2 linked regions of the Saccharomyces cerevisiae S288C genome follow. The protein of the gene in region 1 interacts with the protein of each later gene in a biochemical or structural test. Each region holds a gene or a part of one and is shown on either strand. Other genes may lie near its edges.

The links.
Region 2: the proteins of NUD1 (region 1) and MOB1 form a complex in vitro, tested with the Saccharomyces cerevisiae proteins (one study listed by BioGRID).

The regions. Positions count from the first base shown.
Region 1 is NC_001147.6:1,035,305-1,043,509, reverse strand, and holds NUD1 (Nud1p), read right to left. Parts: upstream 6,677-8,205; coding exon 4,121-6,676; downstream 1-4,120. Other genes in the region: YOR376W (uncharacterized protein), read right to left, coding at 1-319; glutamate dehydrogenase (NADP(+)) GDH1, read left to right, coding at 468-1,832; aldehyde dehydrogenase (NADP(+)) ALD4, read right to left, coding at 2,111-3,670; NDD1 (Ndd1p), read left to right, coding at 7,039-8,205. UniProt on the Saccharomyces cerevisiae protein: Involved in astral microtubule organization by binding SCP72 to the outer plaque in a cell-cycle dependent manner. Required for the mitotic exit by facilitating the binding of TEMP1 to CDC15.
Region 2 is NC_001141.2:152,403-168,964, reverse strand, and holds MOB1 (Mob1p), read right to left. Parts: upstream 2,551-16,562; coding exon 2,531-2,550; intron 2,446-2,530; coding exon 1,521-2,445; downstream 1-1,520. Other genes in the region: YIL105W-A (uncharacterized protein), read right to left, coding at 1,161-1,301; SLM1 (phosphatidylinositol 4,5-bisphosphate-binding protein), read left to right, coding at 1-1,384; PFK26 (6-phosphofructo-2-kinase), read left to right, coding at 3,204-5,687; YIL108W (putative metalloendopeptidase), read right to left, coding at 5,988-8,078; COPII subunit SEC24, read left to right, coding at 8,800-11,580; HPM1 (protein-histidine N-methyltransferase), read right to left, coding at 11,787-12,920; COX5B (cytochrome c oxidase subunit Vb), read right to left, coding at 13,200-13,654, 13,743-13,743; HOS4 (Hos4p), read right to left, coding at 14,119-16,562. UniProt on the Saccharomyces cerevisiae protein: Functions as an activator subunit for the DBF2 protein kinase. Binds to DBF2, which is required for the phosphorylation and activation of DBF2 by the upstream kinase CDC15 in late anaphase.

The sequences.
Region 1 (8,205 bases):
TTAATAACCTTATCTGACCATCTGATTGGATGGCCTCGATATTCTTATCGCAGAACCAATGCGCCGGAACCGGCCCATGCATTTTCAGTGCGGTGGGGCAATAAAAAAGAAATAGTACGACCCCACGTCCAATCAGCAGAGAGAAGCTGTTATCAGCTGCTGCGCCGTTTTCTTTTTCATCAGGTACCATAATGAAAATCAGCACTGAAAAATTGCGGAAGAAGAAAGCGTAAGAAGTAGCAGCAAAGGCCGGCTTCTTGTTAAAGCAAAGTATACGTAATCTAAGTAAGAGAAGATTGGAAAATTTTCTGTTTTTCATATATAAAATATACGAGAGTTACAAATGCGTTTACCCATTTTATATTCTCTCACTCTTTAAATGACTTTTCTTATAGCATTGAAAGTTGCTTGATACGTACTATCGCATTATTCTAATATAACAGTTAGGAGACCAAAAAGAAAAAGAAATGTCAGAGCCAGAATTTCAACAAGCTTACGAAGAAGTTGTCTCCTCTTTGGAAGACTCTACTCTTTTCGAACAACACCCAGAATACAGAAAGGTTTTGCCAATTGTTTCTGTTCCAGAAAGAATCATACAATTCAGAGTCACCTGGGAAAATGACAAGGGTGAACAAGAAGTTGCTCAAGGTTACAGAGTGCAATATAACTCCGCCAAGGGTCCATACAAGGGTGGTCTACGTTTCCATCCTTCCGTGAACTTGTCTATCTTGAAATTCTTGGGTTTCGAACAAATCTTCAAGAACTCCTTGACCGGCCTAGACATGGGTGGTGGTAAAGGTGGTCTATGTGTGGACTTGAAGGGAAGATCTAATAACGAAATCAGAAGAATCTGTTATGCTTTCATGAGAGAATTGAGCAGACACATTGGTCAAGACACTGACGTGCCAGCTGGTGATATCGGTGTTGGTGGTCGTGAAATTGGTTACCTGTTCGGTGCTTACAGATCATACAAGAACTCCTGGGAAGGTGTCTTAACCGGTAAGGGTTTGAACTGGGGTGGTTCTTTGATCAGACCAGAAGCCACTGGTTACGGTTTAGTTTACTATACTCAAGCTATGATCGACTATGCCACAAACGGTAAGGAATCTTTCGAAGGTAAGCGCGTCACCATCTCTGGTAGTGGTAACGTTGCTCAATACGCTGCCTTGAAGGTTATTGAGCTAGGTGGTACTGTCGTTTCCCTATCTGACTCCAAGGGTTGTATCATCTCTGAAACTGGTATCACCTCCGAACAAGTCGCTGATATTTCCAGTGCTAAGGTCAACTTCAAGTCCTTGGAACAAATCGTCAACGAATACTCTACTTTCTCCGAAAACAAAGTGCAATACATTGCTGGTGCTCGTCCATGGACCCACGTCCAAAAGGTCGACATTGCTTTGCCATGTGCCACCCAAAATGAAGTCAGCGGTGAAGAAGCCAAGGCCTTGGTTGCTCAAGGTGTCAAGTTTATTGCCGAAGGTTCCAACATGGGTTCCACTCCAGAAGCTATTGCCGTCTTTGAAACTGCTCGTTCCACCGCCACTGGACCAAGCGAAGCTGTTTGGTACGGTCCACCAAAGGCTGCTAACTTGGGTGGTGTTGCTGTTTCTGGTTTAGAAATGGCACAAAACTCTCAAAGAATCACATGGACTAGCGAAAGAGTTGACCAAGAGTTGAAGAGAATTATGATCAACTGTTTCAATGAATGTATCGACTATGCCAAGAAGTACACTAAGGACGGTAAGGTCTTGCCATCTTTGGTCAAAGGTGCTAATATCGCAAGTTTCATCAAGGTCTCTGATGCTATGTTTGACCAAGGTGATGTATTTTAAATAGTCTAAAAGAAAGAAAAGAGGAAAGTTCATAAAAAGTTCTTTCTTTTTTTTAAATAACTTAGATAGATAATGAGATAAAAGAAGTAAAAAAACGGAATCGTAACGCAATTAATTAATTAAGAAAATTGATTATCGGGAGAAAAAAATTTTATTTTTTATTTTATTTTCTTTAAAGTACATATATTTGAAATGATGACATGTGGAAATATAACAGAGACAGAATATTTAATTTTATGTATGTAAGCATCGATTGGACACCAGGCTTATTGATGACCTTACTCGTCCAATTTGGCACGGACCGCTTTAACTTGCAAGTAGTTTTGTAAAGCATCAACAGACATTTCCCTGCCCAAACCAGATGCATTGAACCCACCGAAAGGAACTGCGTGGTGGAAATCGTTATAAGTGTTTATCCAGACCGTACCCGCATTAACTCTATCAGCCACTTTTAAGGCGGTATTAATATTAGAGGTGTGAATACCAGCAGCCAACCCGTATTCAGAATCGTTCGCCATGTTAATGACTTCGTCGGCAGATTTGAATTTGGTTACAGTGACAACAGGGCCAAAGATTTCCTCTTTGACAATTCTCATGTCTTCCTTAACGTCACCAAAGACAGTTGGCTTAATGAAGTAACCCTTGCTACCTAATCTTTCACCACCGGTAATCAAAGTAGCACCTTCATTCTTACCAATGTCAACGTATTTCAAGATTTTGTTTAGTTGCATTTGAGAGGTTTGTGCACCTTGGAAAGTAGATTCATCGAATGGGTCGCCCACCTTGATGGATTCAGAAGCGGCTTTGAACTCTTCAATGAATTTGTCGTAAATAGATTCTTCAACATACACCCTTGAACCCGCACAACAGACCTCACCAGAATTGTAGTAGATACCAAGGATAATGTTTTGCACGGCTTTTTTCAACTCGGCGTCCGCGAAGACAATGTTTGGTGATTTACCACCCAGCTCCAAAGTCACTTTTTTCAAGCCTGCGGCTGCGGACTGGTAAATGTGTCTACCCGTAGCCGTGGACCCTGTGAAGGCAACCTTTTTGATTTTTGGATGGTTTGTAATGGCCTCACCCACAATCTTACCAAACCCGGATACAATGTTGATCACACCAGGTGGAATACCCGCCTGTGGGATGTATTTAGACACATACAAAGCGGACAATGGGGTGGATTCGGCAGTCTTCAACACGACGGTGTTACCGGTGACCAAAGCAGGGGCAATCTTCCAGGCCCACATCAACAGTGGGAAATTCCAAGGAATAATCTGCCCACAAACACCCAAAGGCTGTCTCTTAGTGTAAGAAAAATGGGTTCTACCAGTATCAATCATTCTACCATCAATTTTATCAGCAAAGCCAGCAGAAGATTTCAAATAGTTGATGACTAAATCAACATCTCCTCTCGAGGAAGAGATAGCTTTACCGTTATCCAAAGTCTCGATGGAAGCAATGACATCCTTGTCCTGTTCAATTAATTCGGCTAACCTGTACAAAGCCTTACCCCTGTCAATAGGGTCGATACCGTTCCAAGACCCATTAGAGAAGGCACGGTCGGCGGCCTGCACGGCCTCTTCCACATCGTCCTCTCTACCTTCATAAATATGACATATTTCTTCTTCCGTGGAAGGGTTAATGACTTCGAAGGTCTTGTTCTGTTTAGAAGGAACAAACTTGTTGTTGATGAACAACCCCGTTGGTTGCTCATATTCCAACCCATTGGGCAGCTTGATAGGCACTGTCATAGGAAGGTGTGAGAAATATCTCAATTGAAGTCTCCCAATGGAGGATGCAGACGTCTTTAAGCAGAGCGTAGATCTACTGAACATGCTTTATTTATTTTTGTTATTGTAGTTTTCTTGGTTGGTTTTCCAGATACTTCTAATCCTAACACCCAAGAATTTTTGAGGAAAGGAGAGTGAAGTCAATTGTCACCGACAAACCCCCCCCATTTATATAACCGCCGAACTTCCATTTTCATTACAAATTTCTCCTCATTCTGCTTACCTACACCCGCCCCTCATTTTCCATCTCTGTTGGAGTTGGAGAAAAAGATACCTGTGGACGGAAGTCCCGCATCGCTGGATAACAGCCGTACCGTCGCCCGGGCGGGGAATCATACCAGCAAACAAAAATGAGGGGGAAATGACATCATGTGCGGACGGTACTAAAGGATCAAAAGAATGAATGAATGAATTGTTACACAAAACGGTGAAATTGTTACATACATTTACTAATTACATACATTTTTAGTACTGCGTACGGGTATAGTTATGGGGTTACAGATTCGTGGCAGTTGGGGCAGGAGTGTCATCTAACCAGAGGGTCGCCAGGGCGGGACATTGCTGCTGGCAGAGGCCAGCAAGCTGGAGCAACTGCCGGTAATGCAAGCTCGTGCTGGCGCGATCGTGGCGTGGTGTCGTGATTGGGTTATTTCGTAGATCAAGAAATTTTACTGATTGGCGTGGGAGAGTTTTTGTTAACTTGTGTGCGTTTTGTAGGTTGTTGCCTGGCAGATGTAGCTCTTGCAAGAACGGTAGTTCCTTGGAGAGGTCCACTGGTAAGTGTGTGAAGTCTCTAACATTAGCTATAGTTAGAGAATATAAGTTGGTGGATTTTAGAGAAGAGAATCGCGGCAAAGAGGAGGCCAGGCCGCCGTTGATCTCCAGAATTTGCAAAGTGGCAGGCCATTTTTGCCATTTGCTAAGTTGAGCGAAGCCGTCCAGTTTTAGAATCTTTAGATTTTGGTAGGGGAACGTGAATTGATCATCCAACTTGTAATTTTGTAATTTGGATAGCGCGCCTCCTGTATTTTTGATGGAAAGCGCTCTCAACGTTCCGTTCTCCATCTTAGAAGATTCCACGATGGAAACTAGCGGGTTACCATTGAGGTTTAAAACCTTCAGGCGGGGCAAGCAATTGATGTTTCTTACGCCAATTATGTTATTGTTGCTTAGATCTAAGACTTCCACGGTCAACCAGCCGCCCACGACAGAGTTGTTTGTTAGTATCAATTGTTCGAAATCGATGATACCATTAATCTCGTTGTTAGAAAGGTTCAGTTTTTTCATCCTGGAGGATCCTATCCCTTCTAAGGATTGGATGGAGTTGTAAGAAAGGTTCACCTCTTGCAGGTGATGACAAAGTGACAAAAATTTTAAACTTGTATTCAAGAGGTTGTACGATAAGTCGAGGCATTCCAGATCGTGGAATCCGGCTAATGAACAATGTGCGCTCGTTATTTTGTTGTTTGAACAAAATAGCTGTACAACGTTCGAGGGTATACCTTCTAGAGTGTTCATTTCATTGTCACTAAGGTTTAGCACTAATACATTCGGTAGTAGTCTTTGCATGCCAAACATATTCTTCAGTTTGCCCCTTGATAGGTCAACTTTCAGGATTTTTTCCCAATCGGAATCATAGCTTGGAGAACCAGATAGTTTACTAGTCAAGATTGATATTAGCTGCTTTTCAGTTTCGTTGAACGAGGTGTTTACTTCGGAAATGGACGTAATATCTTCAACCCGTTCAGCGGGGAAGGTCTTTAGTTTCTTGTGAGCTTCTAGTAGATTGGAATTAGAGATTGAACGAGAGGTACGCATTTGTCCTTTAACCTTCGCTCTAGTGCCATTTTTCGTAAAAAGGTCATTAAATTTTGGTGTGTCTAGGGGCGTGTCATCGCTATTTGCTAGATTTTCTTCTTCTTGTATTTTCTTTTGGCGGTAGCCAACATCACCTGGTTTGGTACTGGTTAATTCATACGCCTTCTTATCTAGAATTGAAGGTGCCTTACCGTTAGTGTGATTATCTCCAGTTGGTACCATTGTGGCGAACTGGGACTGGTTGGAAGATGTATTGTCCAGAGAATGTGAACTCGACACATCTAAGCCCTGGTTCAGCGGCGGATCCCATGCGCCGTGTGTATGGTTAAACTGATATCCCAATTGACCGGGTGAAATAGTGTTCAATGGAGGTTTCTTGAGAACTTTTGATTTTCTGCCTGATTGAGTTTGAGAGGACGACATGGATGACGATGATGAAAATTCAAAAGAATTGGAAGTGTCCTCTTCGTCCTCCTCCTTCGTTCTAGCGTTATCCTTATTATTAATATTAATACTATTATTATTATTATTATTATTATTATTATTATTGTTTTTGTTGTTGCTATTACTTGGATAAGAACCCACCAAATAATTCGATTTTTGCTTTTGTAATATGCCATCAAATACATCATGTGCCTCAGCTGCTGGGCCAGAATCGCTGTCATCAGAAAACGACGATGAGACCTTCTCAGCGTTAAAGAAATCTTTAGAATGTGAAATACTAATCGTATCATGGTTTTCATGGGTCTGCATAGTAGTAGTTTTATTCTTCATATCTAAATGTCTTTTAAATGTATTTGTTTCAAGAACTCCAGATAAATCCTTAACCAAGTCGCTCACAATGAGATCCGATTCAGGAACTTTGTTTGCAGTACCAACAGCGCCACCAAAGTTGGTACCACCGCCGCTACCAATACCAGGGAAATACTGCTTCCATTGAGCTTCTTGATGAGATGTAGCAGTCGTGCCTGAAAAACCTGACGGCACTTTCTGATGCACCGTGCTATAGTTGTTCAAAACTGTCATTGTAGGAGGTTTTTTGACAGAATCGGATATTGCAGGTTCCACAACTTGGGAAGTAAAATTTGAATCTTGAAAATCGTGGTTACTTTCATATTCCTTAAACACTTTACCACTGTTACTGTGCGCGTTCGAGCGTAGCTTTCGTGGTGAATTTATTGTAAGATTCTCCAGCTGGCTCGATAGTTCTGCCTCCTGCGTATCCATATCCATTTCGGTATGCTTTTACTATTCAACCTAGTCGGCAATTTTTTCACCTGAATATTGTTGAACACTTCTGGCATCCTAGATACTCATCTGTATTTATTCATTATCTGTTGTGCATCGTTAATAGCATTCCAGTAAACAAGTTTAGGTCACTACCCGCATAAGCCTTTTGGCGTTTGGCGTAACCCTCCTCGCGAAAAGAAACGGGACGCAAAAAAAAAAAACAACAAAACAAGAACAAAACAAAACAAATAGGACAGAGCCTTAAGGAGCTGCAAGGATCTTCTGAATATTTGGCATCGGCATTGTGGGTGGAAAAAGTGTCCAAATTGGAATAAATTGGTCAGAATAGAGCATTGATTCCAACTATGGACAGAGATATAAGCTACCAGCAAAATTATACCTCAACTGGGGCAACTGCAACTTCCTCAAGACAGCCCTCTACGGACAATAATGCAGATACAAATTTTTTGAAGGTAATGTCAGAATTCAAATATAATTTTAACAGTCCGTTACCTACAACGACTCAATTCCCCACGCCCTATTCTTCTAATCAGTATCAACAGACTCAAGATCATTTTGCCAATACAGACGCTCACAACAGTTCGAGCAACGAATCGTCGTTGGTAGAGAACAGTATATTACCGCATCATCAGCAGATACAACAGCAACAACAACAACAACAACAACAACAACAACAACAGCAAGCTCTAGGTTCACTTGTACCTCCTGCTGTCACAAGGACAGATACAAGTGAGACTTTGGACGATATCAACGTTCAACCTTCTTCTGTTTTGCAGTTCGGCAACTCTTTACCCAGCGAATTTTTGGTTGCATCCCCAGAGCAATTCAAAGAATTTTTGTTGGACTCTCCGTCCACCAATTTCAATTTCTTTCACAAAACTCCGGCAAAGACACCACTTCGATTTGTAACAGATTCTAACGGTGCTCAGCAAAGCACCACAGAGAACCCAGGTCAACAACAGAATGTTTTTAGCAATGTCGATTTGAACAATCTTTTGAAGAGTAATGGAAAAACACCCTCATCTTCATGCACCGGCGCATTTTCACGCACTCCTCTGAGTAAGATTGACATGAATCTCATGTTCAATCAACCGCTGCCGACATCTCCATCAAAAAGGTTCTCCTCCCTGTCGTTGACACCATATGGAAGAAAAATTCTGAATGACGTCGGTACACCTTATGCAAAAGCATTGATATCGTCTAACAGCGCGTTAGTGGATTTTCAGAAGGCAAGAAAGGATATTACCACTAATGCAACATCCATAGGGCTGGAAAATGCCAACAACATCTTACAGAGAACGCCGCTAAGATCTAACAATAAAAAATTATTTATTAAAACCCCCCAGGATACCATCAATAGCACTAGCACACTAACTAAGGACAACGAAAATAAACAGGACATATACGGCTCTTCACCGACTACCATCCAATTAAATTCATCAATAACTAAATCTATCTCCAAATTGGATAACTCTAGAATTCCCTTGTTAGCTTCGAGATCAGATAACATT
Region 2 (16,562 bases), on another chromosome or scaffold:
ATTATCACATGCTGTACAATTCCCATTCTTTTCGATCGAGAATCAATACCAACCAAGCTCGCAGGAGGATAAATCAGTACAAAAGTTTTTTTTGCCATTGGGTAATGGCTCGATACAGGACTTACCAACAATTTTGAACCAGTATCATGAATCCCTAGCATCCAGCGCGTCTAAGGCATCAAGGGAATTGACCAATGATGTTATTCCTCGTTTGGAAGACTTGAGGAGAGATCTAATAGTCAAGATAAAGGAAATAAAATCACTGCAGTCGGATTTCAAAAATTCTTGTTCCAAAGAGTTACAACAAACAAAACAGGCCATGAAGCAATTTCAGGAGTCTTTAAAGGATGCGCGCTATTCAGTGCCAAAACAAGATCCATTCTTAACCAAGCTGGCGCTTGATAGACAAATTAAAAAGCAACTTCAGGAGGAAAACTTTCTGCATGAAGCTTTTGATAATTTAGAGACTTCAGGCGCTGAATTAGAAAAAATTGTAGTTATGGAAATTCAAAACTCTTTAACAATATATGCCAGATTACTGGGACAAGAAGCACAATTGGTTTTCGATATATTGATATCCAAATTAGATTCTGGATTTTTCAACGTTGACCCACAATTTGAATGGGATAACTTCATTTCAAGGGATCCCAACTTTTTATTGCCTAATCTACCGATGAGGACATTCAAAGAAATCGTTTACAAATACCAATTCGATCCTTTGACTTATGAAATCAAATCAGGGTTTTTAGAAAGAAGATCAAAATTTCTAAAATCCTATTCAAAAGGGTATTATGTGCTGACACCGAACTTTTTACATGAATTCAAGACCGCGGACAGAAAAAAAGATTTAGTACCAGTGATGTCGTTAGCATTAAGTGAATGTACTGTGACGGAACATTCCCGGAAAAACAGTACATCATCACCAAATTCGACTGGTTCGGATGCTAAGTTTGTGTTGCATGCTAAGCAAAACGGCATAATTCGTCGTGGTCACAATTGGGTTTTTAAAGCCGATTCTTATGAATCAATGATGTCTTGGTTTGATAATTTGAAGATCTTAACATCTACTTCGAATATACAAGACAAGTATAAATTCATAACACAAAAATTAAACTTGAATTCAGATGGGAAACCCAAGCTAACCAATAACCATACCAGCATTAATAAGTATCAGCTGAGTAATGCCAATAGCACAATGGTAGAAAATGATGAAAACGATGATATAAATAGTAATTATGTGGGGTCCACGGTAACACCAAAATTGGACAATCAAACAAATACGAATACATCCATGTCTTCATTACCTGATACTAATGATTCTGAATTACAAGATCAAGTTCCCAATATTTATATTCAAACTCCAATAAACGATTTCAAATCATAAATACAAGTATAGTAAACTAGAATGTTTTTATTTCCTTCCATCCATATGTTATATTAATATGTTTCCGTATTTTTGTTTTTGTGTCCCATGCATGGAAGAATACAACCTACAAGCAGACTTATATAAATATACAATACTACCTATCCCTCAACTCCATCACTAATTCTAACAGCGGACCAAAATCAGCCGGTCTTAGTAGTTCGAACTCTTGTGCAAAAAGACAAAAATGTCTAAAACTTGTGTTTAGTACGGTTTGTAAATTTAGTTCAAGAATTTCATTAAAATGATGACAGTAAATATGCGCATAAACTCTGAATAATCGCCTTAGAATTGGTTGAATTACTCGTTGGATGAATCCCTCCGGGAAGGTACCGGTGACTTTGGAAGGAAAAAGAGATTCGTCATCAAATTGGTCTTGACACCACCTCATCAAACATTCCACATACTTAGGGGCACTTACCGAAACGGGGGGCTGACCCTTTTGAAATGCCCAAAGATATTCATATTCGTTCGTCGCTATCATCCTCGGGCATGTTTGTGGGGAGCAAAATTCTGTGATGGACCCGTATAACATATTAATCTGATTGTAAAAATCCACGCAATGAACCGCTAGCCATTCATTCTCATCCTCACCACGCGGTAACTTCACAGCTTGGTTAAGGACTCCCTCAGACCCCAGTGTCATCTCCACAATTTGCTTGATGTCTTGATGTGTTGTAACTGTCGTACCTGCTTGCGGTTGTAGAAACGGCTTCTGATGCGATGGTGTATAGTTAAAGTCCGTTACATTTTGTAATTGTTCAGGCGGAGGGGCGTGCCTCTTTGGCGTAGTGAGGACGGGAGACATCCTTCCATGGTCGCTTTCATTATATCCGTTTACTGGATTGTTTGTAAAATCTGCTCTATTGTTAATAGTATTGGCATTATTATTATTGCCGTTAATAGTATTGTTATGGGGAGTTGCCTTAGTAGGCGATACAGAGCCTGCATTATTAGCTGCATTGGCAGTATTCCACTTGAAACCTCTAGTAGATCTTATTGTTTGGCCGGGACTTATATGACTGCTTTCAAAAGGTAACTCATACCCAGTTTGTTAATAAAAGATGAACAATAATACTTGAAGTAGAAAAGAAAATAGCAACATACAAATTTTGTAGAAAAGACATGGAAATTGAAGTCCTTATTGAATTAGGAAAATTTTGTTGAAGATACTAACAAAAAAACCGGTTTTCTCTCGAATAAACTAAAAAAATATCTATACAGCTCAAACGGGCTGAGCTAAGGCTCTTTTAGATCAGTAATGTTACCAAAGCTATAATTGTAATTCTTCTAACGTTTTGATATTTCCATTTTGGGAAGTAGTATTACCCTTCTTTTGATCGAACGTATTTGTCATATTATACGAGTGGGATACCCGACCGATAATAATAATCACGTTTATATCACGTGATCATCTCTGAATACCAAAATCACAACATACGGAAATTAGGGGACATAAGATTTTTTGAGGAGAGATTTCTTTTCCTATTTATTTTTAATCGCGCCATTACTGACAATAGCAAATTAATTTATAGTGGAGTACATGGACTATTTATTATAGATTTTGTTGGCATATTCTTTTTTTAACAATAAAAGGTATACATATATATATATAGACAAACTCAAGTATTCAGTTACGGGTAAATCAAGTGAAATAAATTTCGCCTTTTAGTATCTATTTGTGTACTTTTGTGCCATAAGCTAAAAGAGTAAAAATAATAACAAGAGGCGTAGAAGAAGGGTTTATTCAAGGGAACAAAGGCAAGAGGAATAAAAGCTCATGTTCAAACCAGTAGACTTCTCTGAAACATCTCCTGTGCCGCCTGATATTGATCTTGCTCCTACACAATCTCCACACCATGTGGCACCTAGTCAAGACTCCAGTTATGATCTTTTATCCCGGAGTTCCGATGATAAAATTGATGCTGAAAAGGGTCCGCATGATGAATTATCTAAGCACTTACCACTTTTTCAGAAAAGACCTTTGAGCGATACTCCTATATCGAGCAATTGGAACTCTCCTGGAATCACTGAAGAAAATACACCTTCTGACTCTCCTGAAAATAGCGCTACTAATTTGAAATCGCTACATCGATTGCATATTAACGACGAAACGCAACTAAAAAATGCTAAAATTCCCACAAACGATACTACTGACTACATGCCTCCTTCAGATGGAGCAAATGAGGTAACTCGGATTGATTTGAAAGACATTAAATCACCTACGAGACACCATAAAAGAAGACCTACCACCATCGATGTTCCTGGTTTAACAAAGTCTAAAACATCTCCAGATGGTCTCATATCAAAGGAAGATAGTGGATCAAAGTTAGTGATTGTCATGGTCGGACTGCCAGCTACGGGAAAGTCATTTATTACAAATAAATTATCCAGATTTTTAAATTATTCTTTATACTATTGTAAAGTGTTTAATGTCGGTAACACTAGAAGGAAGTTTGCTAAGGAGCATGGCCTAAAGGACCAGGATTCAAAGTTTTTCGAGCCGAAAAACGCCGACTCTACTAGGTTGAGAGACAAATGGGCCATGGATACTCTGGATGAATTGCTAGATTATTTATTAGAAGGTTCAGGATCTGTGGGAATTTTTGATGCTACAAATACCTCTCGTGAAAGAAGAAAAAACGTTCTGGCTAGAATCAGAAAGAGAAGTCCTCATTTGAAGGTTTTATTTTTAGAATCTGTTTGTTCGGATCATGCACTGGTACAGAAAAATATTAGACTCAAATTATTTGGTCCAGATTACAAAGGTAAAGATCCTGAAAGCTCTTTAAAAGATTTTAAAAGTCGCCTGGCAAACTACTTGAAAGCCTATGAACCAATTGAGGATGACGAAAATTTGCAGTACATCAAAATGATAGATGTGGGAAAGAAAGTCATCGCATACAATATTCAAGGGTTTTTAGCTTCGCAGACGGTATATTATTTGTTAAATTTCAATTTGGCTGACAGACAAATTTGGATAACGAGAAGTGGCGAGAGCGAAGATAATGTTAGTGGCCGTATAGGCGGAAATTCCCATTTGACTCCTCGTGGTCTAAGATTTGCTAAAAGTCTACCAAAATTCATTGCCAGACAGAGAGAAATATTTTATCAAAATCTCATGCAACAAAAAAAGAATAATGAAAATACAGATGGGAACATTTATAATGACTTTTTCGTTTGGACCAGCATGCGTGCTAGGACTATAGGGACTGCTCAATATTTCAACGAAGATGATTATCCTATCAAACAAATGAAAATGTTAGATGAGTTAAGTGCAGGTGATTATGATGGTATGACATATCCAGAAATTAAAAACAACTTTCCTGAAGAATTCGAAAAAAGACAGAAAGATAAGTTGAGATACAGATACCCTGGTATTGGCGGTGAATCGTATATGGACGTTATTAATAGACTCAGACCTGTTATCACAGAACTAGAAAGAATCGAGGATAACGTTCTTATTATTACACACCGGGTGGTGGCAAGAGCCTTATTGGGTTATTTTATGAACTTGAGTATGGGTATTATTGCCAATTTGGATGTCCCATTACATTGTGTATATTGCCTAGAACCAAAACCATATGGAATCACTTGGTCATTATGGGAGTATGATGAAGCATCGGATTCATTTTCTAAGGTCCCACAAACGGACTTGAATACCACCAGAGTAAAGGAGGTTGGCCTTGTTTATAATGAAAGAAGATATTCTGTTATACCAACAGCTCCGCCAAGTGCAAGAAGCAGCTTTGCAAGTGACTTTTTGTCAAGAAAAAGATCTAATCCTACTTCTGCATCTTCATCCCAGAGTGAATTATCAGAACAACCCAAGAATAGCGTTAGTGCTCAAACTGGCAGCAATAATACCACTCTCATTGGGAGCAACTTTAACATCAAGAATGAAAATGGTGATTCGAGAATACCATTATCTGCACCACTTATGGCCACTAATACTTCTAATAACATCTTAGATGGTGGAGGTACCTCAATTTCGATACATCGTCCCAGGGTTGTTCCAAATCAAAACAACGTGAATCCTCTTTTGGCTAACAACAATAAAGCGGCTTCTAATGTACCTAATGTAAAGAAGTCAGCGGCTACACCAAGGCAAATTTTTGAAATAGATAAAGTGGACGAAAAGTTATCCATGTTGAAAAATAAAAGTTTTCTATTACATGGAAAGGATTATCCTAATAATGCTGATAATAATGACAACGAAGATATAAGGGCAAAAACCATGAATCGCAGCCAAAGTCACGTTTAAAATAATATGAAAAAAAAAAAAAAAAAAAAAAATCAGAAATATTTTATGAATTATTCAAATAGACTAATGAAGTGATAAAACCAACCTTTTTTTTTCTTCTTTAAGGTATATTGTTCGACGCAATCATGAAGTGTTGCGGTTTTTTGTTTATATTTTTCTATAACTGTTTTCCTTTTTCCCAAAGAATTATGCAAATGAAGAATATCTACGTATATATGGAAAATAATTTAATAGATATATTTTGATATGACTAAGTTATGAAATAGAAAAAAATAAGAAAAAAAAAACCTTGACTAATTACTATAAAGCTCCGTAAATAATTCCGAAGGCGTCGACCCATTGACCGACTCTGCCAGTCACACCTAGGATATATTGGCCATTAGGTGGCTGCAATTCAGCGAACCCACCTCCGTCTTTGTTACCAAACATGTCGGTCATTCTCCCATGACTCGTTATAATTTGGATAGCATCAACCCAAGCTCCGCACCTCAGATTAAACCCAATGATTATTTCACCCGGTTCTAGTGTAGCATCCGTAAAATTTTGTGTTTCATGTCCAAAGAGTACACTTTTTAGATTTTCTTCGTTTATTGAAGCATGATTTTTGATACTATGTGTAATTTTTGAGAAATAATTTCTTGGTGGTACAGAGGGCTTGGATGCGGGAGCATCCTTTGTTCCAGTTGGTTTTTCCTTGTAATAAAACCTCACACCATCTAATGCATAGCCATGGTATATTCTCACAGCAGTGACTAATCTAACATCAAAAGCGACGACGCCGACAGCATTACCACCGTCGCTGCGACCATAAAGTGGTGATTTGATACCTTGAACATTTTTAGAAAACCCATATTTCGACATGTCTAATGGCTGAACATCTAACAAAGATGGGAACTTGTCGAACTCGGTTTCCGGTGCATTAACAGAAAGAATTTTCAATTTGAAGGTATTGCCAAACTTGGCGAGTTCATTCTTGGGCAACCTGGCACGTAAATCATCTAATGTTACTATAACTTCCCGTTGAGGCCCCTGTCCACCTAGGGAAACCGGCAAGTATTCAATATGGCCCCTGGCCAAATCATCACATATAATTTCAATCAAATAGATTCCTGTGGGCGATAATATGCGGCAACTGCCGTTACCCAAAGGATATACAGAGTGTTTTATATTGGGGTATCCGCCCAATTTTGTAGGTCTCATGAACGATGGATCGTAATAATCCTGTGGTAAAGTGAAAGAGGGGTGGTACAAAAATCTTACCGTATCGAGACGGTTCCAGGTACATTCTTCCTTGGGGAAGATGGGAGGACTAGCACCAGTTGAATTAGTTCTTACAGAATAAGCCTCTTTAGTCAAGAAAGACCTATTCAAAGTGGTATAGCCTCTTAGCATAACACCGCTTTCCTGATGAGGACAACCCAGTAAGTGACCAATCTCATGCATAAATGCTCCCAACGTGATAGTCAAACATTCCCAGTAAGTACCACACTCATTACAGTCGTTGGCGACTTCACTGGTGGAGGATCTTGTCTCATCAGTAAAATAAGGCACCAATTGCTCGAGACAAGTAGGCCATGAGTAAAGCCCGTGCGACCCAAAAATGGCGAGCTTAATGCTGTCGTCACCCCCACCCAATGCGGCGTGGCCTCTAATCAACTTACCATCCCAGTGGGTGTCTAGAAACATACAAGCTGCCTGAACAGGCTTTTCGTTATTGGTGAAGGGTCCGCCGTAACTTTTAAGGGCGTCCATGGCTATCCCAAAAAGGGCGCCGGTGTTTTTCCCTTTGGAATTCTGTTGAGCTATGTCAGGGTCCTGGATTTCCTTCACCGTCTTTTCCGAACGAACTACATGTATTTTGATGGTGTTTCTCATAGCAGGCCGTTCGAACAGCGTGTCCCAGGTAAATTCTTCAACAAAGGGAAACGTCCTATTTCCCATACTGTTTCTCAGCATTTGCTCGTTCGTGTACGCTTGCATGAGTCTGGCCCCAAGTCTTAGCTTCTTGATTGCCAATTCGAGGCCATTCCCGCCCTCTCTGTCCTTCTGTTCTCGAGGAGAGTCAAACTGTAAAGGCGAATCCTTGGCCAAGATCAGACACAGGTGTACGGGAGGGTTCTGCGTCAGTGGTGTGTAGTAACATACGATTGTCCTAGCGGTGTTAGTGTCTGTAACAAAGGTCAACTTGTTCTCACCAGGAGTCAATATCACAGTGGCCTTGAAGAACTGATTATGTATGGGGTAAGTAATTGGAGGCAATTGTGGATGCTGCACTTGAACGGTCTTCGCACCATTTTGCTTATTGCATTTTCCGTGCACGATAAGACAAGGAGAAACGATTTGCTCGTTCTCTCTCAGGTTGAATAGATCAATATCCTTCGAGCCTACCATTTATTTCTTTCTCTTCGAACTACTACTTCCTTTTTTTTTTTTTACTGTATACGATCTAATAATAAGAAGAAAGAAGAACTCCTTTTAAATTTCCTTTTTCTCTCTATTTTCCGGCGACCGCTACTCTTAAACGTCCAAACCAAAAAAAGATCGAGAGAATTGACTGCGCCAAGACACATGAACTTCTGAAACCTAAGAAAGCCTGACTGTTCCTAAGGTGATCTATATTTATATACAACATCATGCTCTTAAAAGAATAGGTTACGTAATTAATTGATGGAAAATTTCAGCAAATTTCCGCCTAGAATGCCGGGTAACAAAAAAGTAATTAGTGCTATGTTTGGGTGATAGAATCGTGTCACAAATATACATAGCACTGACAAGTGTGCATTTTGCACTAACCACTGCTATAAGTTTTTCAGCTTAATGCAGTCTATTCAGGCACTATCTGGGCTTGAAAAACAGTCTTGGACATGGCCACTGGAGCAGATTTGTTAACGCTTAGCTGTTCTCTTTTTTTTTTTCTTGTTTTTTCCATTTACGGCAGAAGAAAATGAAAACTGGAAGAACGAAAACGAAGAAAAACAAAACTATGTAAGGAGGATGGTACATCAGGAAACAGGCCAAAAATAGCACTACAAAAAGGTTTTATCTGGCACTCAGGTCCATTTTTGCCGCATTGAAACAGACATAAATATATAAGTCTGAGACCATCTGCAAAATGTCTCATCACAAGAAACGTGTTTACCCACAAGCTCAGCTCCAGTATGGACAAAATGCCACCCCTCTACAACAGCCAGCACAATTCATGCCTCCGCAGGATCCTGCTGCAGCTGGAATGAGCTATGGTCAGATGGGAATGCCGCCACAGGGTGCAGTCCCTTCCATGGGGCAGCAACAATTCCTAACCCCTGCTCAAGAACAGTTACACCAGCAAATTGATCAGGCCACCACTTCCATGAACGATATGCATCTGCACAACGTACCGCTAGTCGATCCTAACGCTTATATGCAGCCACAGGTTCCCGTGCAAATGGGCACACCTTTGCAGCAACAGCAACAACCAATGGCAGCGCCTGCGTATGGCCAACCTAGCGCCGCAATGGGCCAAAACATGAGGCCCATGAACCAGTTGTATCCAATCGATCTGTTGACGGAATTGCCTCCTCCAATTACCGATCTGACCTTGCCTCCCCCACCGTTGGTTATTCCTCCAGAAAGGATGTTAGTTCCTTCTGAATTGTCCAATGCGTCTCCAGATTATATCAGGTCGACCTTGAACGCCGTTCCTAAGAACAGCTCCCTGCTGAAGAAGTCTAAACTTCCATTTGGGCTTGTTATCAGACCATACCAACACTTGTACGACGATATCGACCCGCCTCCATTGAATGAAGATGGACTTATTGTCCGTTGTCGTCGTTGTCGTTCTTACATGAACCCTTTTGTCACTTTTATCGAGCAAGGCAGAAGATGGAGATGTAACTTTTGTCGTCTGGCCAATGACGTTCCTATGCAAATGGACCAGAGCGATCCAAACGACCCAAAGAGTAGATACGACAGAAATGAAATCAAATGTGCTGTGATGGAATATATGGCCCCAAAGGAATATACTCTAAGACAACCACCTCCAGCCACTTACTGTTTCCTGATCGATGTCTCCCAGTCCTCTATCAAGAGTGGGTTACTGGCCACTACCATCAACACCCTTTTGCAAAATCTTGATTCCATTCCAAACCATGATGAAAGAACCAGAATTTCCATCTTATGTGTAGACAACGCCATTCACTACTTTAAAATCCCATTGGATTCTGAAAACAATGAAGAGTCCGCCGATCAAATCAACATGATGGATATTGCCGACCTGGAAGAGCCTTTCTTGCCCAGACCAAACTCTATGGTTGTGTCCTTAAAGGCCTGCAGACAAAACATTGAAACTTTATTGACCAAGATTCCTCAAATCTTCCAATCTAATTTAATCACAAATTTCGCACTGGGCCCCGCTTTGAAATCCGCTTATCATTTAATTGGTGGCGTTGGTGGTAAAATAATTGTTGTGTCAGGTACTTTGCCCAACTTAGGCATAGGAAAATTACAAAGGAGAAATGAAAGTGGTGTTGTTAATACATCCAAGGAAACTGCACAACTACTTTCCTGTCAAGACTCATTTTATAAGAATTTCACCATCGATTGTTCTAAAGTACAGATTACTGTCGATTTATTTTTGGCTTCTGAAGATTATATGGACGTTGCATCACTATCGAATTTGAGTCGTTTCACTGCTGGTCAAACGCATTTCTATCCTGGTTTTTCAGGCAAGAACCCAAATGATATTGTCAAATTTTCCACTGAGTTTGCCAAGCACATTTCCATGGATTTCTGTATGGAAACCGTAATGAGAGCCCGTGGTTCCACAGGTTTGAGAATGAGTAGATTCTATGGTCACTTCTTCAATAGATCATCTGATTTATGTGCATTTTCCACCATGCCAAGAGATCAATCATACTTATTCGAAGTTAACGTTGATGAATCCATTATGGCTGACTATTGTTATGTTCAAGTAGCGGTACTTTTATCTCTGAATAATAGTCAACGTAGAATAAGAATTATAACATTGGCTATGCCAACCACGGAATCGTTGGCAGAAGTCTACGCATCTGCTGACCAATTAGCTATAGCGTCGTTTTACAACTCGAAGGCGGTGGAGAAAGCATTGAATTCCAGTTTGGACGATGCAAGAGTATTGATCAACAAATCCGTGCAAGATATCTTAGCCACGTACAAGAAGGAAATAGTGGTGTCCAACACTGCAGGGGGGGCCCCATTGAGGTTATGTGCCAATTTGAGAATGTTCCCATTGTTAATGCATTCTTTAACTAAGCATATGGCATTTAGATCTGGTATTGTCCCAAGTGACCATCGCGCCTCGGCCTTGAACAACTTAGAATCATTACCTTTGAAATATCTAATCAAAAACATCTACCCTGATGTTTATTCGCTGCATGATATGGCTGATGAGGCTGGGTTACCAGTGCAAACTGAAGATGGTGAAGCTACTGGCACAATTGTTTTGCCTCAACCAATCAATGCTACCTCTTCGTTGTTTGAAAGATACGGTCTATACTTGATAGATAATGGTAACGAATTGTTTTTGTGGATGGGTGGTGACGCTGTACCAGCGCTAGTATTCGATGTGTTTGGAACACAGGATATCTTTGACATTCCAATTGGCAAACAGGAAATACCTGTTGTTGAAAATTCTGAATTCAATCAAAGAGTAAGAAACATTATCAACCAATTGAGAAACCATGATGATGTCATCACTTACCAATCATTGTATATTGTTAGGGGTGCCTCTTTGAGCGAGCCCGTTAACCATGCATCTGCTAGGGAAGTTGCAACGCTAAGACTATGGGCTTCTAGCACCTTAGTGGAGGATAAGATTTTGAATAACGAAAGTTACAGAGAATTCTTACAAATCATGAAAGCCAGAATTAGCAAATAAGGCTAAAAGGGAATCAATGATAAAAAGAAACTGTATATTTTTGTTGGTTGCATTTTTGCTTTCCAATTATATTATGTATATTGAACAGTTACTTTAATTTTTACTTCTATATTTCTTTTCTATTTTCATCCATGTTATAAATAAAAGATACAGTAAAAGACTTATGGATTAACTTAAGGAAATGAAGTTGAAACAAATTATACTAACTATCGGATAGCTTTATTTGTTTCAATGCATATAATCGACCTTTTTAAGCCAGAGTTAACTTTAAACCTTTCAGAATGAATTGGTAGATGTTCGGAGTTTATTTTGTCGTCCAAATAAGCTTCAAATTCAGTGATGCTACCACCGACTCCAAAATAAATATCCTTTGCGGCTACGTAAGTTTTGACATCGGTTTGTGGTAAATTGTGTATGTCAAGTATTGTTTCCGCTATAACGGGCAAATTGTCAGGTTGATAAATTGTTTCTGAGGATAATGAAAGGACTTTTTGGCTACCTGAGAGTACTTCATGGATCAAATTACTAAATTTACGTCCCCACGATCCTGATATAAGAGTGACGCTGATATTCCTGCTTTGTACATCGTCGTAAAAGGCAGCTAACAGCTTTGAGGTAAGAAGCAGTTCCTCATTATTTATTGGAATATCTTCACATTCGTCTTTCTGTAAGGCGTACCATTGTTCCTTTGTCAAAACCGTTTTAGCCCATGTTATAACCAAATTCGGTATGGTAACTAATCTTAATACACTGGCATTATAGTCAGTCAAAACAAACTTTAAACCTTTACTTCTATCATTCCGTAGAAGAGCAGATCTGAAAAGAAACTCTGAGGGTAGTGCCGTACCACAGCCTATTTCGACAACCGCGTCGATATCGTTGCTTATTCTATCAACGTTCTCTGACAACAAATCAACTAAATCATAAGAGCACTCCCATGATTTCAACCCACCTTCATAGATGTTCTTTCTCAAATCTTCAGAAGTATCACCTAGTAAAATGTCCAGTTCCGTGGAGTTGTTGTTGGATTGGGCATCTGTCTCTAACATTAGCTGATGTTTGACATCGAATAGTTCCCTCTTGATCAATGGTTTTCTATATATCGGAGATTGGAACTCTTCAAATGTCAATCTAACATCCTTAAGACTTTCCAATATTGTTCCTAGGTCTTCCACATTTGGCTGCACAACTCCAGCTTGCGACAAGAAATCCGAATCTAATGGATTGATGTAAGCAGTGGTATTTTCGTTTTCTTTGCTGCTTTCAACGAATGTTTCAGGTTGAGCAACAAGCTCATCATCATCAAAGTCATTGGAAGTAAAGCCGAAGGAAAATGACATATTTTAGCTACACAACACTTCGGTTCTGATTGTCCTTTTCCTCCCCATAGAATCGATGACTTGAACATTTTTATTTTTTAGATTGGACTTTTTTTTTTTCCAATTTTCCATGATTATTTTTTTTCTTCTTCGAAGTAACAATGAATGATATTTGCAGAAGAAGGTACAAGGAACTAAGTAATCAACCTACTGAACTAAGACCAAATGCGTATATATGAAAACAATCTACTTATACCCCAAACACGGAATATACGAAACAATTTTATTTTCCTCGTCTACTTATTTAGATTGAACTTGAGAATAACCTCCCCAAGGATTGGCATTTTTTGACTTCAGATACTCGTCTGATTTCAACTGCCATTCCCTGTTCATAGTCTTTGGAGTTTCAGGATTGGCTAATAGTCTCACTAAACCAAAGAGCCCAAATGAGATTCCTAACCCTAAAAATACTCCTTTAGTTATAAATGCAACATCGCCTTTTCCGTGTACAGGTCTTCTAGGTCCCCACTCGCCGTAGGATATGTACCAAGCTGCTTTGATTTCCTCGTTATTGAGAGTTTTCCATGGAAGCTTTTGACGTTCTGTCAAATTATCTGCAATCTCTTTCTGTTCTAAGTTTGGCATATTTTCCCATCTTTCGGGCAGATCTGTCAATGTTGCCTTCGAAAGGGCCTTTGTTTGAACAAATCTTGTCCCAGTTAGCCGTGCCCCTTTAGTAAGAGAAGTACGCAACACTGCAAAACTTGTGCTTGTACACCTCGAATGTTAGTAAATGGATATCTTTTAAAACTCAAAACAAAAATCAGTGTTTGTTATACATGCTCTTTACAATGAATATGTGGCGTTATTCCATTGTGAAAGTTTCCTGCAAAGAATATTAAATTGAAATAATTGGTCTATTGTTTAATGCAACAGTCATTTATAAAATATAAATCAAATGAAATTCGTCTTTTTTCGTCTTTTGCACGGTATTTTCTGAACCCCTCAGTAATTTTAAGGGGTCCATGACATTTTTTCGAGTACTCGTTCGTTGCCTTATCGAACAATACAAAATCAAAAAAAGAAATTGGTGAGTGTCATGCCGATATAATAATGACAAAACAGTACGATTATATGGAATTATGTTAACATGAATAGTATTTAATGAATCGAAAATGCAACTATGTATGAGCATATGCCAACGGACCGATGAATTGTTTTACCAAAATGGTTCTTTGGATGTCTGCTGGAGGACGGAGGATATGCTCATACGGTGTTGAAATTTAACCGGTAACTCTCGAGGTATTTTTAGAGAACGCTGTTTGCGCGTCGGCTGCTGCGCTTTGTTCAGCTTATCGTTTCTCCATCGTGCAAATTCGTTTATTGATATTTGAATCATATTTCCTTCAATTTCTTTTCTTTTTGCGTGGTTTTCAATAACAACGTTATCCCATTTAATCCACGCCATGGGCAAACTAACAAATTTTTTGTACTCCAAAAGCTCATACCCAATCTTTGTGTCCAAATCAACCCCATCAAAGTTTACAACATATCTTTTATTTTCCATGTTGTTCTTTTTATCATCATAACTACCTCCATACAGGAAAATGAATTTCAACATATTCCACAATGGAGTCAGGTGCGAGGGATCGACGGGAATCTTCTCAGAAGTTGGTTGGTTGTCCTTTGAGAGCAAGTCGATATCCTTCAACAATATCATTACTTGCAAGTCGAGCACAAATTTATCGTTTTTTTCGTCTACAAAATAATATAGCGGCAAAAATCTTTTGTAATCAAGTTTATCGTTGAAGTTAATAATCTTCAGTCCTAACGGATATAAGTCCCTTACTGCCCTTCTATAAGAGATTTCTTCCATTTCTTTTTCCCTTTCCATTTTTCTTGCTTTCTCTAAAGTAGCTTTTTCCAATCTTTCCATTTCTAAGACTTTCTGCTTCTCCTGTTCTTCGATCCTTTTTTTCTCATCTTCGGCCAGCTTTTGTAGTAGTTCCTGTTCTTTTTTTCTTTTCTTTTCTAATCTTTTCTTTCTGTATTCTTCCTCTTCCTTGAGTCTTGCTTCTCTTTCAGCAGCCGTTTCTTCATGTATTTTACTTATCTCTACAGATTTTGCCTTCTTTGGAGAATGAGGTTCCATAGAGAGTGGTGAGATACTTTTTAATTTTTCTTCATCTTGCAAGGCATTTGTTTTACGTTTTTTCCAGTCCAATGAGTATTGAGTACCAACATTTTCATTGTCATCCAATCTCTTGCGCGAATCCGAAGTTGTAGATTCCTTGACATCACGATCGTTATTAAAGTCATCGTCTGCCAGATTGAGCATCCTCGTATCGTCCTCTTCGTCTTCAATTCTAGGAGTGGCACTTCTTCGGCTTGCTAATATGGGTGATTGCGTTTTCTCTCTCTTTTTTTCATGTTTATATGTTTCATTATTATTATCATCATCATCATCATCATCATTATTATCTTCAGAGTGCTTCTTCAAATAGTTATTTATAGCATTTTCAATCAATTGAATTTCTTCACTGTTTGTTATTCCCATTATGCTGTTTTTGGCATAGTACAAAGCGGTACGACCCTTTTTATCTCTTTTGGTTGGATCTGCACCTGCCTCTAATAGCAGTTTAACAGTTCCAAGATGGCCACGACCTACAGCTACCATTAAAGCGGATGTTTTATTATCCCTTGAAGTTTGATTTACGGGAAATCCGAATGCCAAAAAGATACTTGTAATATCTTCATGGCCACACTTAACGCTTTCGAAAAATGACCTTAAGTCTATCTTACCACCATTTTCTACATACGTACCAACGTATGGTAAATGTCCCTCCTTCGAAGCTTTAAACAGTTTTTCTTTTCCCGCTCTAGAAGTAACATCTGTCCAATAGAATTCCTCTTCCGGAGCTTTCTCATCAATATTGGAAGCCATTGAAGGTGAGTCAGCGGCCTTTTCGTTTTTGGCTTTTGTGGTATTATCAAAAGGTGGCTGATCTATTGTGTGAGCATTATTGCCATTTTTAGATTTGTCATTATGAATTCCTGCTCTGTTAGTCCATTTTTTAGCGGCTATACTCAACCTTTTTTTTATTTCACGCAAAATCTTTTGGTCTTCTTCATCATCAAATTCAGATTCATCATCGACAGATTCAAACGCAGTTAACCCTTTAGCGTTACGTATAGTTGGGTCCGCACCGTTTTTAAGAAGATACTTGACAACATCCAAGTGTCCATTGGCGGAAGCATCGATCAAGGGAGTATCGCCGAACATTTCAATAGACTTGATATTTACATCTGCACCATTTTCTATCAACAGTTCCACAATCTCAATATGACCTTGCAACGCCGCTTCATGCAATGCTGTATTACCAGCATTGTCTTGGTCATTAATATCGTAACCTCCTTCTTCAATCATCTTTTTGACTACATCATATTTGCCCTTGTCACAGGCAATCTGTAGTCTTGTTCTACCACCAGAATCCCTATATATGCCCTTCTTCTGTTTGGGGCGCTTGGAAACAGCTATATGAGAACTCTTGTTACTATCATTACTCCTGGAGACAGAACCCCTTTTTGGATTTTGTGCTGGTGAAGAATTCATATTTGAAAGGTTGTTGTTTGTCTCTTTCACAGGTGAAGAACCGCCTCTAA